2 linked regions of the Caenorhabditis elegans genome follow. The protein of the gene in region 1 interacts with the protein of each later gene in a pairwise test. Each region holds a gene or a part of one and is shown on either strand. Other genes may lie near its edges.

Region 1 (3,442 bases):
GAATACGAAGTCTATCAATGCGGCTTAAAATATCATCAAGTTCGTCGATTTCCGTCGTCAATTGTCCGGCAGTTTTAATTAGTTCGTTGGATAGATCATCAATCTGGAAAAGTTTCAATAAGTAGATCACTGCAAAAACTTCAACTTACAGTATTGAATTCAGCCGCGTTGGTTCTCAAGTGAATTTCCAACGTGGCAAGCGCTCCGCTCAACTCTTGCTCCGTGGCACCGAAATTAAGAAGCAAGTCTCGTGTCGCCAGAATTGTTTCAGCTTGATTTTCAGCACGAAGTGTCGAACGGATGCTCTCCTCGTTTGGAATGAAAATATCGCCGCCATTGAAATTATGATCAGACGTGGAATGCGAGAATTGATGCGTTTGTTGCTCAATGTTTTCTGAAAAATTAACTTTTAAATGCAGATGGATTTTTTTTTGAAATTTTTTCTAAAACGAGACAGACCGACCTAAAATATTTGTCCAACATTGATTCTCTCGATTATCGTACTCTACAGCAGTTCTTGTTTGATAATTCTTACGTGTCATTGTCTCAATTCTTTCCAGTTCATCTCTTGACTACAAAAACTCGAAACATTACAATTTGAACAAAGAAAAAACAACTTCTCACCATTACATCTCTCTGAATATTAAGATTGCCTCTTCTTGGCATATTCATATTGTTATGACGTTGCTGGTGGTTTCTACGATTTTGATTCGGAGCCGGAGCATTGTGACGTCGGGGGGGCTGTATGTTTCTGCTGAAGAAGGAGCTCAGTCAATATTTGTGATTTTTCTCCAACAACTTTTAAATAATCTTATATTTTCGGTGAAATGTTTAAGTAAGACTACAGTACCCCTGCCTTAACATAACCCTATAAGTCTCAAGGGATGTATTCCAAATGGTCCCGCCGCACCCGGAAGTCACAAAAATCTGTATTTGTTCGCGCCTTCAAGGTTACTGTAATTATGGTATCGAATTATTTTTCTTTTTTATTAAATTGTTTAATTTTTTAAAGAATGTTTTTAACTAGTATTTGGTATCGTAATGTTTTCGTCTGAAATTGCGATGAATTATTCAGAACACCAGACATAAAATATGCGCATTTCTACAGTAACCTTACAGGCGCGTTGCTCGCGGTGAGACCATATAACGTTTTCCTTGAAGCTCATCGAGGAAGATATGTATAACTGAGACACATAATATTATTGCTTCATACTTAGGTCACTTACTCCACGACTTGATTTTGTCTAATTTGCGGTTGAACTGCTTGAAATTGTCGATTTCCACCAGCTTGAGCTCTTTGTTGATTATTCATCATAAATTGATGGAATTCGGGATTCCAAATTGGATTCATGACGGAACGTCAGAGATTATCGAGTTTATTGAAATGATTTAAAAAATATTCGACATTCGATTATAGTGATTGATAACAACTGGAATAAGTTATAATGTAAATAGGATTTCACGTAGAACAAATTTTTTCAGTTCTAATTTTATTATATATTACAATTAAATATTACATTTCCTACGCCCTGACCAGAACGCAAAAAAAACAATTTTAGAAAACAAAATAGTTCATAAAAAGTTGAAAACAATTTATTTCAATTTTAACAATCTTATTCAACTAACCATCACTATCAATGTCTTCTCCAAGTTCAGCTTCTGAATCTGATTCTAGTCAAATGTCTCTGTTGGCAACGCCACCCGTTGCAATTCGACGACCACTTCCATATCCAAGGTAAATTATATCGAAACATCCAGTGTACATAACTGCGAAAATTCTGACAATATACATATCTTTTTTTGTGATTACAAGAAGTGTTGTCTGAATTGGGTTACTGTAAGGGGTTTCTGATATACGGTACTTGTTTTCTAAATCTTATGGTGATTTCAGAGACATAATTTCAAGTCCACTCGAAGTCGCAACTCCTGTTACTGTTTCTCCAACAGATTTCATGCCAATCAGGTATATATATAATAGCAAACACTATTCCTAAGATCGTGGCGAGACTCACACAGAAAAACCGCGTGTGCCTTTAAATATTTTATTAAACTTTCTCGAAATGACGATATAAATATTTGATTTTCTATCGATGTTTCCTAAATGTTATATAATTCAATTAAATCAGAAAAATGAATATAAATCTTCAGAGAACTTGTCACAACTCCATATCACATTTCGACTCCAGTGTTAATAACTCCAGTTGATGCAAGATCGATCTCAAGAGAAATTGTACGTGTCAATCGTATAAGACGTGTTCGAACTCGTCAAGCATCTCGTTCCGTATTCAATAGTGTTCGTCGTCGACTTTCAATGATAACAGCTAATCGAACTGAAATTCAAATGAATACTCCACAAACATTGCCACGTAGCAAACGGTGAGCTTCCAGATTACGGTAGCCGGTCTCAACACGATCAAAATTACGAACCGTGTGTTTATAAGAAAAATAATTTATTCATTACAGAATCGACAACACTTCGACAGCCATGGAACCAGTGAGTTCGAATGCTTTTCAGAAAATTATTTCTGAAATTCTGAATAACTCACCTGCGTGTACAGAAACAATAAACTCAACAATAATTCCATCAAATTCATCGAATTGTGCGAAATTACGGGAATTTAATCGTCTCGAGTCGATTGGAATTGCTCAAATGGCAGTAGAAAATGAGAATGAAATTTTGGAAGCACTTGATTTTATTGAATGGAATATTCGACTAATGAGTTGTGAATCGGATTATGTAAGTTTAAAGCATTGAAGGATCCGTGTAAAAGTGTATTTTTCAGATTGACAAAGTCTTGGAAGACTTGGAGAATGAGAAGCTCAATAAACAGAACAAATGGGAACGAATCGAACTGATTTTGAGTCTCATTCAAGATTAATAAATTCGAAAAATACAGAGAATTATTTATTTAAGAGAAGCGGTAGTCATCAAATAATTACAGAGAAACACTTGCACACACATAATACTTCAATAAAAGCCATTTTTTTGGCAAAGGGTGAAGGCGGAGCAGGAAAGAATGTTGGAAATAAAACGAAACCTAATGAAGAATGTGTGCGTGTTTGTGAATGTTTAGGGCAAAGAAGTAATGAAAACCGAAAGAAAGAGCTCATGGAAATGAAAAGAATGAACGGAAGAGAGGAGCATGATGATTGATAGAGAACCCGATTTGATTATTCAGTGTGCGTTTTTGGGGAGCGACGACGAAGACGCGAAAACCGAAAGTGTTACAGTTCCAATACACGATAGAGGACCTGGAATTAAGAGAGCTGGGAGAGAAAGAACACAAAACATGAAGACCAATGAATGATATTCTGATACACTAGAAAAAATGAGGGAAAGAACAAAGCGGTTTGGGAATTATAGTATCAGTTCATAATAATTAGAACTGATATTATTATTTCCAAGCCAGAACACCTAGCACATTATTAGAAAGCGATTATT
Region 2 (5,879 bases), on another chromosome or scaffold:
TTTCGAGCAAATTTTTGTATATTTACGCAAAAAATTCTGTTACCCAGATCCGAAACTTTGCTATTTTCCCCCAAAAAATACACTACCAGGTCTCGAAGCGGCCGATTTTCTCCAATGCCAAAATTTAAGGATTACTGTAGTTTCCAAATCCTCGCTTCTTTTTGGATTTTTTACGATGTTGCATGTGAAAGTATAAAAAAATAAATGAAATGTTTTAAAATGAGAATTCAGAAACTGCCGTACTCCTTAAAAGTCGCTTCGAGACCTATTGTCATAGTTTTGAGACAAAATCTCGCATCTGACCAATATTTTATGCTATTTCATTTTTTAAAATTCATGTTTTTTTTCCAGATTGGAGCAAGCTGCCGCACTTGGAATGGGAAATGCTCGTTCTCTTGCCTCACTTTTTGACAAGGTTTGTTCTCGTTTTTTTGATAAATTTATGAGAATTTTAAGTTTTTTTTCGTTTTGTTTGAACATCGTTATCAGCTGAAACTAGGCTGATAGCGAAGAAAAGAAATTTTTAAGTCGAACAAAAAAAAAGAAAAAGGAAATTTCCTTGTGACTGTTTAAAAAAACTGAAACAAAAACGATAGTTAAGAGGATTGTTTCAGGTAAATCGAGGAAAACTTCTCAATCAGGCTACACTGAACACGATAAGCAAACCGTTCGTCAACGAGAGTGATTTCATTTTTGATGATACTGTCGCCAAGGGACACGGATTTTTCCATTTGCCCATTCATAGAGCTGGGGTGAGATTTTGAATAATCGAAAGAGGGACGAGGGATGATGGAAATTTTGAACTGAAAAATTTTAAAAAATCCATTTTCACAATAAAAAAACCAAAAAAACCAACAAAAGTCTGAAAAAACTCTTAAAGAACGAAAAAGTCAAAATTCATCCAATAAAGCAGATTTTTTAATTTTTGCCAAAAAAAACTTTTAAAAAATCCATTTTTGCGAAAAAAAAAACCACTGTCCTTTTTCCCATAAAAAATTCAAAAAAATCAATTTTTCTCAAAAAAACCCGAAAAGTACCTTTTTGCTAAATAAACATAAATTAACAAAAATTAACAAAAATTAACAAAAATAACAAAAATTAACAAAATTAAAAATAAATTAAATAAATAAACATAAAACATAAACAGCCAAAAATTAATTTTTGCATTAAAAAAGACTGAAAAATCCATTTTTGTAATAAAATTACAACTGCCGAAAAAAGCAAAAAAAAAAAAATTTTGAAACCCCCAAAAAATTAGCAAAGGACCAAAAAAAAAGAGCCCAGGTGGTGAACAGAAAACGAAAAAACAGGAGAAATTGTTGAAAAACCATTAATTTCGAATTCATTCAAAAAATGAAAATGCATAGAAAAAATATTTAAAACCCTAAATTTAGCTAAAGAACCTGCAAAATGTTAGGAGCGTTTTTTTATTTAATTTTCAGTGAATTTTTTTAATATTTTTCTTTCATAATTCGCCATATTTTCAGACTCAATTCGGCTTCGGACATACCGGGCACGGATGCCAAATGGTCATCACAGATCTCAAGAATCGAGTGACAATTGCCTACGTCACAAATGGGTTGAAAACGGGACTCTACGACTTGTGCAGGACGTACTGGGGACTTCAGACTTCTGTATATGATGTCATCGAACAAATTAATATTCAATCATAATTTATTTTATTTCATTTTTTAATTAGTGATTCCATATAGTTTTAAGATATATCCCAAATCATCCCGCGTGTTCTTTGTACAGTCCGTTTTTAATTCATTCATTCCAAGTGTCGTTCTCTCAATGTTGAAGCTTCTTCCCCCGTAATTAACTGACCGAGTGACCCCACAAAATTGCATATTTATCTGCTCTCTCTCGATTTCCTTACTAATAAACCATCAGTTCACCAGTTTTTAACCACATTTGCGGGGAGCTGGCAGGTGGTAACCCGCAAGTTGCCAGGGGCAACGAGGGTGGCTTAAGGCAAGTGGCCGCGCGGAAAAGAGCTTTCCAGGGGGAGAGGAAAGCAGGATGTCCATATTTGGAAGCATTCTAAGTCTGCAGGATGCCATAAATCGATTTCCGCAGTTTGAATATCAGGTGGGGAATATTAATTGTTAACACGAATTTGAAAAGGAATTCGATTTTTTTCAATTTTTGGATTTTTTTGTAATTTATTTAAAAATTATTATTGTGAATTTTTTAATTTTTCCATTACACATTATTAAATAACTAAAAATTGAATTCGTGGTTTATTGTTCATTTCCAACTAAAAAAATCCCTTCAATACCCAAAAAGTTGCAGTGGGGCGCATTTTCAACGTTTTAATTAAATTTCAAACGTATAATTAAAACTGAGTCTCGTCACAACAGATTTTTGTTAAATGCGGAAAGGTGTGCGTCTTTAAAGAGTACTGTAATTCAAAATTCCAGAATTTTTTTTAAATTTAATGTACATATTTTCATCTAAAAACTATTAAAAAACTAAAAAATTCCTCTGCAACGAAAGTTTGGAATTACAGTACTCTTTAAAGGCACACAACTTTTCGCATTCGACAAAAATTGTCGTGTCTAGACCGTAAACCGTATTTTCAAGGAAAAATAGCAAAAGCCTTTTTTTCAGATAAATCGCCTCGAAAAAGAGCAAAAAGACACCGAAGCCGCGTCGAGAGCAAGTTTTCGCAAACATTTTGTCAGACAGTGCCAGGAATTGCATAGACAGGTAAAAATTGCATTTTCTCTATCTGCCTTATGCCTGGCTGCCTACGGGCCTACCTACCGCCCATTATGGGATCTCCGGTTTGATTCATAGATTTTAGGTCGACCAACTTTCTATTTAATTTCAATTAATTGTTTACAAACATTGAAAAATTGTTAGGCATATGTGTAGACCGTAGGCACTCTGGTAGGTAGGCATTCTCGTGCCTACGTAGAAGTATCATTCAAGGATATCAACATATGCATACAGTTTGCAGCTCGACGATCACCGAAATCGAATTGAAAAGGCCAAAACTGACGAGACCTACAAGAAAGAAAACGCTCTAGAGCAACTTGACAAGTTGAAGCAAAGATTGACAGCTTTGAGCCCGGAAAAGGAGCAATTATCGTTTTCTGTCAGGTAAAATTATAATTAAATTCAATTTCTCTAATAAATAGTTAAATATTCAATTCCAGTGTGGACTCTCAATCAGAAGAAGAAAAACCGAAAATGGCTGCAATTGGCCGCCGAAAAAGCACAATGTATAACGATGATGAATCAGAAGATTCTGATAATGATTCAGAAATTATTGAGACGGATGTTCAGCTGGATGATCCTCTTCCGAGTCAGCCACAGCCTCCACAGCAACAGCACCAGCAACCTCAACCAAAACCCAGACAACCTATCACAATTACAAAACCTCTTGAATCAAAGACTTTGAATGAACGTCAAGAACTTGATGAAGTCATCTCAAGGCTTCAGAATCCGAGTCGTGGAGATTCTGGAGAAGTTATGGAACCAGTTGTAGTCCGTGGCAATGTTTTTGTTGCAATTGACAGTTGGGATGCAGAAGCTGAAGGGGATTTGGAGTTAATCAAAGGAAAGAAGTATCGAATCACACAGACAAGATCCGATGGTTGGTGGACTGCACTGGATGAATATGGTCAGAGGGGTCTTGTGCCAAAGACTTATTTACAACATGTTAAGGAAAAGCCGAAGAATGTGGTTTGTTACTTTTCTCTAGTATCGTTAGTTTAATAAGTAGAAATTTTCAGCCATCAAAAGTGTCTAGTCGCCTCGGAGTTCGAGATTCGGTGATCGGAATATCTACGACTACTGATCCATCAAGACGAGAAGCAAACCGGCAGGCATCTCGAGTTGATGACTGTCTTGGTAAAGCATATGACAATGACACTCACTTGTCACTAGTGTGCCATATGGCTCCGAGACTATCAACTTCAAATATTGGATTTCATGATCTTTTTTGGAGTCATTACAAGGATCAGGTAAAAGTTTAAAACTTGCAGTTTCTACCCAAAAAATGCTACAGTTTTGCCAAAAAACCTCTGAGTCTTCCTAAAAACGGCTGAGAAAATTGCTTTAAAAATTTTTACTATGAATCATTTGCTACTCATAGCAACACATTTTTTGCTCACTTTCATAAATCAACTATATTTTTTGCAGGTTTACAAGCGAACTGTCCATATATCAAAAATTATCCGTCTAGTTCGATTTGAAAAGATGCCCCTAATCGAACACAAGGCACTTGTCAGAATGGCTCTTGTCGACATCACAAATCCAAAATCCACTCAAATTGTGAGCAACGTGCACACTCTTGTGCCACGTGTCAAATCTTCAACGTGGTACTTTGAGAAAAAAGAGAGCCAGACGAGAAGCTGCATCGAGTTTTCTGATTTTGTTCTCCGCTCAAACTATCGATCTCCGACAGTGGTACTTGTTGTGGAAGCATCTCATTTGGTGAAGACACAAATAGGAATTGAGGAAAAGAGTTTGGGACATACATATCTGCGACTGATAATTGATGATAAAGCAGTGCCAAGTAGAACGAATGTTTTGTATTTGGATGATGAAGTGATGACAAAAATGAAGTTGCCGGAAGCTTCGAAAAGAAGAGTTCTGGTTCAAGTGATGGATGTTCCCAAGGATAAGGTTTCATATGTGGAGTGAGTTTTGGAAACTAAGAAAGCTGAAAATCTGGATCCCTGACCTGACTTTAAGTTCAACCCAAATTATTTTTCCAGCTCCCTCCCCGATGTCATAGTATTCAATGCTCTTTATTTACCATTCTTCCACTTTTACCGCCGACGAGCTGGAACCATTTTAATTCGGGACAATCGGAATCCATTGAGTGCTGGTAGGATTTCATACCCACCCAAACAATATTTTGAACTAATTTCAGAATTTATATCTGACCCACTTCTCTCTGTATTCCCATTTGTTTGTGACCAGCATGACATTATGGATATAATGCTGAAAATTTGGAAAACCAAAAAGAAAGTGCTCGCCAAGAAAAACGAAGCTGAACAAACTGCCGAGTTCTTCCAAACTTTTCTACACACCGCGTTTTTTATTCATGGGATTCGAATGATTTCGTATGATGTCAAAGATGATCTTACTCTTTCGATTAGGCAACAGGTAGAGCTGCTGCTCTTGGAGCTCGTTTCAAAATCAGGCTTCGATTATTGTAACATTTCAGACTATGCAACGATTTGTGGATGCATTGAATAAGGGACTTTTCAAGCAGTTCATCGCAGATCAACAATGCAAACCAATCAATATTATCGATTATTCATTGGATCTTTTAGGCAATCATTCTATTGACTAATTTATGGAGATAAAATTAAGCTCAATAAAAAATTTAACTGTGTAATAAGTTCTACTCATCTAGCATCTAAGCATAGAAATGTTTCAGTCATTGTTTCAGTAAATTTCAAGTTTTGAAATTTTTGGTTTTGAAATTTTTGGTTTTTTTGTTTAATATTTGAATAATTTAGAGTCGACTCCCAAACATAGGAGTGGTAAAACTGAGCAATGGCCATTTTTCAGTTGTAAATTTTCACACTGTACCCTCTCAAAAAATGGATTTGAAATGAAATATGTTTATTCGCAATAATGAATAAAATTGGGCGATTTTTCAGAATCACAGCCTCATCGAATTTATTCCATTAAGGGGTTTTATTACATCATGAAATTCTGCGAGCTGACGATCAGGATGTGGTTCTGAGAAATCTAAGAGTTCCTAAACTGGCTTGCCGCTGATTACAGTAGCGGCAGCGGAAGAAGCTTCAGGTGCGGCGGTAGAGGCCTCGGAAGAAGCAGCGGTTGATACCACAGAAGCTCCACTTGCAGTAGTATCTCCACCAGCTGTGGATGCAACGGATGCATCGGTT

The links. Proteins that work in one complex are often made in the same cells at the same time.
Region 2: the proteins of ZK858.2 (region 1) and nphp-1 interact in a two-hybrid assay, tested with the Caenorhabditis elegans proteins (one large-scale study listed by BioGRID).

What each region holds. Positions count from the first base shown.
Region 1 is NC_003279.8:9,122,637-9,126,078, reverse strand, and holds ZK858.2 (uncharacterized protein), read left to right. Parts: upstream 1-1,606; 5' UTR 1,607-1,637; coding exon 1,638-1,735; intron 1,736-1,891; coding exon 1,892-1,963; intron 1,964-2,148; coding exon 2,149-2,376; intron 2,377-2,463; coding exon 2,464-2,737; intron 2,738-2,783; coding exon 2,784-2,879; 3' UTR 2,880-2,897; downstream 2,898-3,442. Other genes in the region: ZK858.8 (t-SNARE coiled-coil homology domain-containing protein), read right to left, coding at 1-103, 150-394, 464-572, 625-754, 1,227-1,351.
Region 2 is NC_003280.10:10,648,373-10,654,251, reverse strand, and holds nphp-1 (Nephrocystin-1-like protein), read left to right. Parts: upstream 1-1,995; 5' UTR 1,996-2,022; coding exon 2,023-2,091; intron 2,092-2,613; coding exon 2,614-2,712; intron 2,713-2,965; coding exon 2,966-3,108; intron 3,109-3,164; coding exon 3,165-3,693; intron 3,694-3,743; coding exon 3,744-3,974; intron 3,975-4,152; coding exon 4,153-4,652; intron 4,653-4,730; coding exon 4,731-4,843; intron 4,844-4,888; coding exon 4,889-5,124; intron 5,125-5,185; coding exon 5,186-5,314; 3' UTR 5,315-5,359; downstream 5,360-5,879. Other genes in the region: lact-3 (Beta-lactamase-related domain-containing protein), read left to right, coding at 352-415, 615-752, 1,488-1,673; M28.10 (Flo11 domain-containing protein), read right to left, coding at 5,729-5,879. UniProt on the Caenorhabditis elegans protein: Plays a role in the extension of dendrites from phasmid ciliated sensory neurons. May be necessary for initial assembly of the cilium.